Linked DNA regions of Xenopus tropicalis. The protein of the gene in region 1 purifies or fractionates together with the protein of each later gene. This does not show direct contact. Links are inferred from orthologs where the notes say so. Each region holds a gene or a part of one and is shown in the gene's direction. Other genes may lie near its edges.

Region 1 (4,390 bases):
TTGCTACAATGGAGGTGATTCTTTCTTTGTCTTCTTTTTTTTTTTTGAGAAAATGGTTCTTTCTTTAGGTGATGTACAAATATTATGTGATTTAAAATGATAACAGTGAGCAACACTTGCTGATGTCTTGAGTTTTATTAAGTGGAGATTAAAGGACATGTCAACCCAAACAATGTTTTTGCCTAATAAAAGAAAATATAATTCCATAATTCTAATTAACTTTGCAATATACATTAATTAAAATTTTGTAATGGTTTTTAAGTTACTAGTATATATAATTTCTGTTAAAAGCAGTTTTGTCCTTTTCTGTTCCCTGCCCTGGTGGCACTGGCGTTTGAAACAATGTAACACAAGGCACCGGATTGACAGACCTGACTTGCTGGAGGAGACTGGCTTTTGTAACATTGTTTAAAAAATCATAACCAGGAGTTCAGCAAATGCTGCTTTCAATAGCAATTACATTTACAAATAACTTTAGAAGAACTAATGGTTTTAATAAATTCATATTGGAAAGTTGCTCAAAATGATGCCTTGTTTTATTAGGCAAAAAATTATTTTTTGGGTTATGTCCTTTCAAAGGATACTATCATGATTTTTATGGTGTACTTTTTATTTCTAAATTACACTGTTTACATAGCAAATAATTCACTCTACCATTAAATTTTATTATTGAACCAACAAATGTATTTTTTAAGTTGTAATATTGGTGTGAAGGCGGCCATCTCAGTGCATTGTGCCTGAGTCTGAGCTTTCAGAAGGAGCCAGCGCTACACATTAGAACTGCTTTCAGCGGAACATTTTTCGGCTTCAACATGGTATTTGTGCATGCACATGACGCCATTTCTGGGAGCGCGTGCACATGCGCTAACGTCACTTCTGGGTATTGGGGAAGTTTTCATATCATTATTTAAAATAATATGAGCTCTGATCATAATGAAAGATTAATGAAGTGTGGCATAACTAGTATAGTTATTGGGCCCCACAACAAAACTATTTTTGGGCCCCCTACATTTTGGGAAATAAAACATCTATCATAAACATATATTGAAACTATTAATCAGTCAGTGGCCCTCATGGGATTCTTATTAGTTCTGGGTTCCCAACAAATAGCAGGGTCTGTGCTACACTATGTTTACAAAAACCGTGGAGGAAGGTCTGAGGAAAGGGTAGGACAGCATGTAGGCGTATTTGGGCGTGGTCAGAAACTACAACGTCTGGCACAAGGGGATACCAGCAGCTGCAAAATGATGTGTTCACTTTTACAAACAAGTTATTGTTAGACATCATTCTTGTAATACCCCAAAAGATGTGAAATCTACAAACTGCGTGTTTTGTGTTTTTTGAGCACAATAACATAAAGAGTAACAAGTAGTTTAACCCAATTGCTTACAAATGACCACGTCCTAAATGCGCAACAAAGTCAATCGCCTTAGCACTTCTTACATAAACACTATTTACAATTATTTTAATTCAGAATTACATTCTATTAGTTCACCGCGGAAAATCTACTTTGCGTTTTGTAAGATTTATTCCTCGTAGGTACCCGTAGATGTAGTTCTGCGCGGCTGTCGGTAGTTGTGGTGCGTCTCTGTAGTTTGCCAAAGTGATGTCGGAAGCTGCGGATCCCTGTGGATCAGAGGTTACTATGCACGACGTGGAGCTTTTGATCAGCAAGAAGGATGAGATCGAAGCCCAGATAAAGGCTTTATATGACCTTCTGCAAGATGTAAGTTGCTTCTTTAGCCCAGGGAATGGCTGTGTCATAAACATTATGCCCTCACTGCTTACACATGCTCACAGCAATACCAATAAACACAAGATTACAAAGCATTATGAAATAGTCATTTTATATTATGTTATAATATTCATTGACCCGCACAGGGGCATATCCATTTCTGCCTCTTTTCAGCTTTGTTTATTATTTTTGCCTCTGATTCTCTTATTTTTGGTAGTGGGGCCCAATCAACTAGTAGTTTTTAGTTTCAATCTCTGCTATATTGTTTGTAGTTTTTTATAGTGTTCAGTAGTCAGCGGGAAACCTGACAGGACTGGCTTCCACTAAAATAATAACTGAAATCTTTTATTTTTTTTAGCAAAAAGCAGTCGGCATGGACGAACCACTGGTTGACAGAGAAGGATACCCTAGAGCAGATGTGGATATTTACCAAGTTCGCACTGCAAGACATAATATCATCTGTAAGATCTTCAATATTAGAATTTTATAGAGGAGGGTTTCTCATACCAAAGCAATGTAAAGCTTTGGCATATACAGTATATTGATTTTGTAAATTTTTGAAGGCAGTTGAACTGAGCAGAACTTTCACTTGAAAGTGTACCTTTTTACATGAGTTGCAAATTCAGTTATTTATCCATACGGTGTGGTTAAATGGTGAGAAATCTGTATAATTATATCTATTCCATAAGTATCATATTAATGTGAAACTGGGTTTACTAACATATACTGCCTCCAGGTTTGCAGAATGATCATAAAGCCATTATGAAAGAGATAGAGGAATCTCTACATAGACTACATGCACGAGAGAAAGAGAAACGTGAGAAGGATGAAGCAGAGGCCCAGGCTGAAGCACTACAGAGTCACCAAGCACTGCCTACTGCTTTTGCTAAAGTAGATGTTGTTACCCCAGGCTCTCCTGCCAGCATGTCAGTAAGTAGTTGTTATGCTGTACTGATGAGACAAACATCATTGTTGTGTAGTTACCACCTTTTATAGTCCAATATATACCATATCATTTTACCTACAGATTTAATTTTAGATGTACCTTTTTATCTATGTATTGTAATGAACTATATGCAGTTCATATTAATAAGACAGGTCCCCAAAGCACCTAGTTGATTTCTTGGCTCTTTTTTATTGGCGCTTTCTAAATTCACTTGTATAGTTACAGCTAGTTGCATGGCCACAATAGCCACAATCCATATTGTACTCTGTAGAAATATTTGTCCACACATCACAGGATCACTTTCAAATCTACATAACAAATCAAGTTTCTTCATAATCTGCCTTCTTTTAAGTAACTTAAACACTGTGTAAATTGTCTGTTATAGACCTGTCTGATGTACACATCTCTGGTCAGACGCTAATAAAGCTGGCCATACACGCACCGATAATATCGTACAAAACCTCGTTTCTTGCGATATTCGGTGCGTGTGTGGCAACTCGGCGAGGCGACCGATATCGCAGAAGGCTGCGGGTTAAAAGATTTTGATCGGGCGCCATTGAAGGCACCTGAGCAAAATCTGCCTTCAGGGCTGAATCGACAGAAGGAGGTAGAAATCCTATTGTTTCTACCTCCATATCTGACGATTCGGCCCTGAGGGTTGGAAAGATCGAAAATCGCCATGTGTGTGGCCAGCTTTACAGTACACTATATGATGAAAAGCATTTGGACACAATGCATAGGCTAAAGTATCTTGACAACCCAACTAAAAAGACTCTGTAAAGTTTCACATTTTTTTGATGAAACATCAATCATTTTTATGGGCAAGCAGCTGCGTAGAACTCTAAGATCAGTATGCATGTTGCTGGAGTCATATAAAGATCACTAACAGTGATGAAATGTGCTTCACTATCTGGCAGTCAGACAAGTGTAATTTTGCTGTCCCAGGAAAATGCTACCTTTATGAATGGTTAATGCATATTTTTAACTTTGGTGGAGAAGTAACAATGGTCTGTATTTTTACCACATAAATAATTTATATATAAAAGAGCCCTGAATATTGTGGTTGTAATGTCATCACATATACAGTATATTAGCTTAGTGATATTAGTGATATTATTGCTTAGTGATGTAATGTGTGTCACATGACACATTTTATGATTATAGAACTCCTCTGCAACTTAAAATTTACAATAGGGTGTGCACTGTTCTCTGTATAATAACAGCCAAGGGATTCTTATCGAAACCTGAAATGAAAACAAAGTGCGGTCTTAAGCTGGCCATAGGCTGATAGATACGCTTGTAAGGCGAGGGACCAAATTAGGCTGATTAGGCTGGTCATTTGGCACCAGGCTCTATGGAGATCCAGCATAAGAGGTCTGTATTAACACACTACTGCGGTCCTTGCCCAACTTTATTTTAAAACCTGATCAATTTTTTCCCAGATATTAATCAGTAGGCCGCCTGGCAGACACCATTGTGGAAGGTCTGCGCCAGCACCTTTTATTGGCCTATGCTTGGGTAGCTTTAGTCCTTAGGCTGATGCCACACAGGACTGATTCTCAGCCTGTGGATAAACGCAGGCCAAGAATTTGGGCTCTGAAATGCAAACTTGTGTGTTTTTGGGCCAAAATCTGCTCCATGTGCCTGCACCCAGGTCAACACAATGGCCTCAGGTATAGACACAGGGAAAGAGTGATGTCAGCGTAGTG
Region 2 (3,659 bases), on another chromosome or scaffold:
AATACGCCTGACGCGTTTCGTGTAAATATACACTTAATCATAGGCATGAGGCTGGAGTATTGCAGTCCAGTTTGCAATTGTATGTATGCAAAATGAAAGGAGCAGTTCAGGAATAAACTATAAACCTCTGAGCTGAAATGTAACTTGCATGTACAATGTTAATATAGGGCAGCTAAACGCCATGATTAGTCACGACTACTGAGTGCTGTGTGTCTTCGCCATAAATGGCATTCCATCAACTCAATAATTCCATTTACTTTTCAATCAACTGGCAAAATAGGCTTTTATTTTTAGTATTTTATATTTTCCAGCAAATGTTGTATTCTGTTAAAGGAACAGCACCAAAAATAATAAAATGTTTGAGTAGTTAAAATATAAAATACTGCTGTCCTTCTCTGGTTAAAGGTTTGCATTTGCTGCATAAAGACTGCTATAGTTTATGTGAATAAGCTGCTGTATAGCCACATGGGTAGCCAATCAAGCTGGTAAAAAGGAGAATAGGCACAAGTTACATAGCTGATAACAAATAGGCTCTGTAAAACACCATTGTATTCTACAGAGTTTATCTGTTATTTGCTATATAACCTGTGCCATTTAGCCTTATTTCAATTTGAATGGCTTCCACCCCCCCCACATGTAGCATTTATAGATACTTAGGTCCCTTTTAGTAAAAGTAAAAAATGGAACTAAGCCCTATCCTAAAGTCACATTCTACTTCTTGACTTGTAGAAGCACAATCAAAACAAATCTGTAGAAGCTTAGATAATTGAAATTTCTTCTATTTTCCAAGCTGATTTGTTTTGATTGTGCTTGTAGGGTTCAGGACGTAGAATGTGGCTTTAGTTTCAGTATAACATTTTGCCCTGTTTAGTGCAAGAAACAACAAAAACCATAGATATTTCTCATTAAATGAGGCAACATCTTTGTTCAACACAAGCTGTATTTGTTAAATCATTGATGAAAAAATGCTTATATTGCTCCTCCTAAATCTATAGCTTATGTAAGAAATGTCTCTTCCATGTAGATCCCTCAGTAGCTCTGAACTTCCTGGAGAAAACTCGCGAGAAGGTTTGTGATTATTTTTAATAATGATCTTGTATGTCCTTCAGCTGTAAATTGGTTTACATTATTTAATGATATATTTATAATAGGTATGGAGACTGATTTCTTGCCAAAGCCATGATCTGTCTGCTTTAATGGTTGTAGGTCAAAAGCAGCGATGAAGCAGTAATACTGTGCAGGACAGCCATCGGAGCCCTGAAACTCAACATTGGGGAGCTGCAGGCCACAAAGGTGCGTATAAAAATGCACAAAGGTGCATTATGTGGTTTTTGAAGGTACTAGATGGTCTATAAGTAGGACTGCACAATCAAAGAGCATAACAGTATAAGCAAGCAACAAGTAGGGGGTGACTTGCATAGGGGAGGGAGGGGAAGCAAAGCTTCCTGTTGCATTCTCCCTCGGTATTAAAAACCTTCTTCCATTATGATTCTATGAATTTCCCCTTACAGAATGAGAAAGGAAAACTCCTCATTACGTTTCAATGATCCCTCAGCTTTGACAGCGGTGCCGTCCAATATCCTAGATACAGTGAAACCTCAATTTTACATACCCTGTTTTAAATGTTTCCGTTTTTTCTGTATCCACGTCACTTTAGGCTGCACATCAATATTTCAGCCCCTGCTGTACCTCAAAACATTTCTGTGTAGTCACCCCCACATATATAGGCATGGTAGTATGATCAGCCTAATTCATTCCCTTCTTTTATTATGTTCTTTATACCCTCTTTTTTACCTTTGCTGTTCCTATCATTCCTTCCCTCACTTTCTCATTGTTCCATCCTTTCTGCTCTTATGTGTTTCTCTACCTTTTTACCCTTATTGCATCTCTGAAACTTTCTTGATCATTTTTATCCTCTTAATCTCACCCCTTTTGCCCATTTCACCCCTTCTCTTGTTTCTTTTTCTCCCGTTCTGCTCTAACCAGTTCATGCTCTTTCCTGTGCTTAATTTTCTTCTCTAATGACTCTCACCCCCTTCAGTTTCTCTTGCGCCCCAACATCCCCCAGTACATTTTTGCCCAGTTTTTTTGCAGCTCCCCTGGTGGTGCTATACAAGGTATCTGGATAGCTTAGCAGTGCAGTAGAAGACTACCTAAAACATTTTAACTTGCTTATGCATACTTTTATTTATGGCTGTATCTTACAGCCTGCCCAGTCCCTGCTCTGCTGCTCAGTTGATGGCATACAGCAATTGTAGCTTAGCAGTGTGGCAGGAAAAGAGCTTAACTTTAGCTTAGGTAATTTTCTGCAAAAGAAATGTGATAATTGGGCATGCAGTGGGATATTCAAGACATTGTATTTATTTTAAATGTGAGCTTCCACCTTTTAATTGCCAGTGATTAAATATTCTGCTTCCATCCTAGGCCATGGAGAGTTTTGTTGGGGGCAGTGCACTGTAGAGCACTGGCTTCTGTTCCGACATAAGTACATAATGACCGTAATCTGTGGAGACGCTGACTATTACTTGCTAACTCACCTCTAAATTTTTCCTTGGTTTTAGTGTCTCTTGTCATTTTTAACCTAGTTATTTACGGTGTGCTCAAAACAAAACCTTTATTATCCTGACCATTAAGCATGTCATATATGGTGACACTGGCGTAGGTTTTCTAGTTATACTCCCTTTTAGCACAGTTATTGTATGGCTGAAGGGCCCTTATTCTCATCTTGTCATCCTCAGGAAACTATTGAGGCAGTGGAAGAGATGTTGGGCGGACTCGCTGGTGTAACCTCTGTGCACAGCCGTTTCTATGACCTTTCCAGCAAGTATTATCAGACCATTGGCAATCACGCCTCTTACTACAAAGATGCATTGCGCTTTCTAGGTTGCACAGACCACAAAGAACTTTCTGGTAAGATACATATAGGCACTCATTTTTAATAATAAGAATGAGAAAGCTTAACCATGGGTAATAAAATGACTAAAATTATTTACATTGCCTGCAATGGCACAGCATTTTGTTTGTTTTGTTGCCCAAAACTACCCATGTGTAATTGCTTTAATAATTCCAAGTGACTTCTAAATGTCACCTTCTGCTATTTCCTTTAAGTGTCAGAACAGCAAGACAGAGCCTTTACCCTAGGGCTGGCAGGTCTGTTGGGAGATGGAGTCTACAACTTTGGAGAACTGGTAAATCACCTATTTCTTAAAGCAACATTATAGCTTTTGATTTGGCTCAAGATTTATATTTGCTGCATAAAGTATATAAACTATATACCTGTATTTGTTTTATGCATATATAGTACAATATATCGTTATAAGCTGATTTAGATTATGTCTACCACAAGAACGTAGATATTGTTTAGGTTACAGATTTTGTGGTATAGACAAAGGGTTCAAGATTAAACCTTTTTATGTCCTAGCTGATGCATCCAATCCTGGAATCTTTGCGCAACTCTGACCGGCAGTGGCTAATAGACACTCTTTACGCCTTCAATAGTGGCAATGTGGAGACATTCCGTGGGCTGAAAACTGCTTGGGGACAACAGGTATTTTTCCTGAAAAGAGGAAGACCGCTATTTTTTCCCTCCATTTATATCCACTTACTAGTCCTGAGACACTTTAATCTACTAAAGGGCAAGTAAAATAATAGTGATTGAG

Evidence for each region. Proteins that work in one complex are often made in the same cells at the same time.
Region 2: the proteins of psmd9 (region 1) and psmd13 fractionate together in Homo sapiens (co-fractionation; 3 studies listed by BioGRID and IntAct, with this or other methods). This does not show direct contact. The link is inferred for Xenopus tropicalis from reciprocal best matches to the Homo sapiens genes PSMD9 and PSMD13.

Annotation. Positions count from the first base shown.
Region 1 is NC_030677.2:162,105,566-162,109,955, reverse strand, and holds the start of psmd9 (26S proteasome non-ATPase regulatory subunit 9), read left to right. Parts: upstream 1-1,568; 5' UTR 1,569-1,606; coding exon 1,607-1,726; intron 1,727-2,093; coding exon 2,094-2,196; intron 2,197-2,471; coding exon 2,472-2,665; intron 2,666-4,390. UniProt on the Homo sapiens protein: Acts as a chaperone during the assembly of the 26S proteasome, specifically of the base subcomplex of the PA700/19S regulatory complex (RC).
Region 2 is NC_030680.2:23,987,187-23,990,845, reverse strand, and holds part of psmd13 (26S proteasome non-ATPase regulatory subunit 13), read left to right. Parts: intron 1-1,024; coding exon 1,025-1,068; intron 1,069-1,206; coding exon 1,207-1,293; intron 1,294-2,738; coding exon 2,739-2,910; intron 2,911-3,108; coding exon 3,109-3,188; intron 3,189-3,421; coding exon 3,422-3,547; intron 3,548-3,659.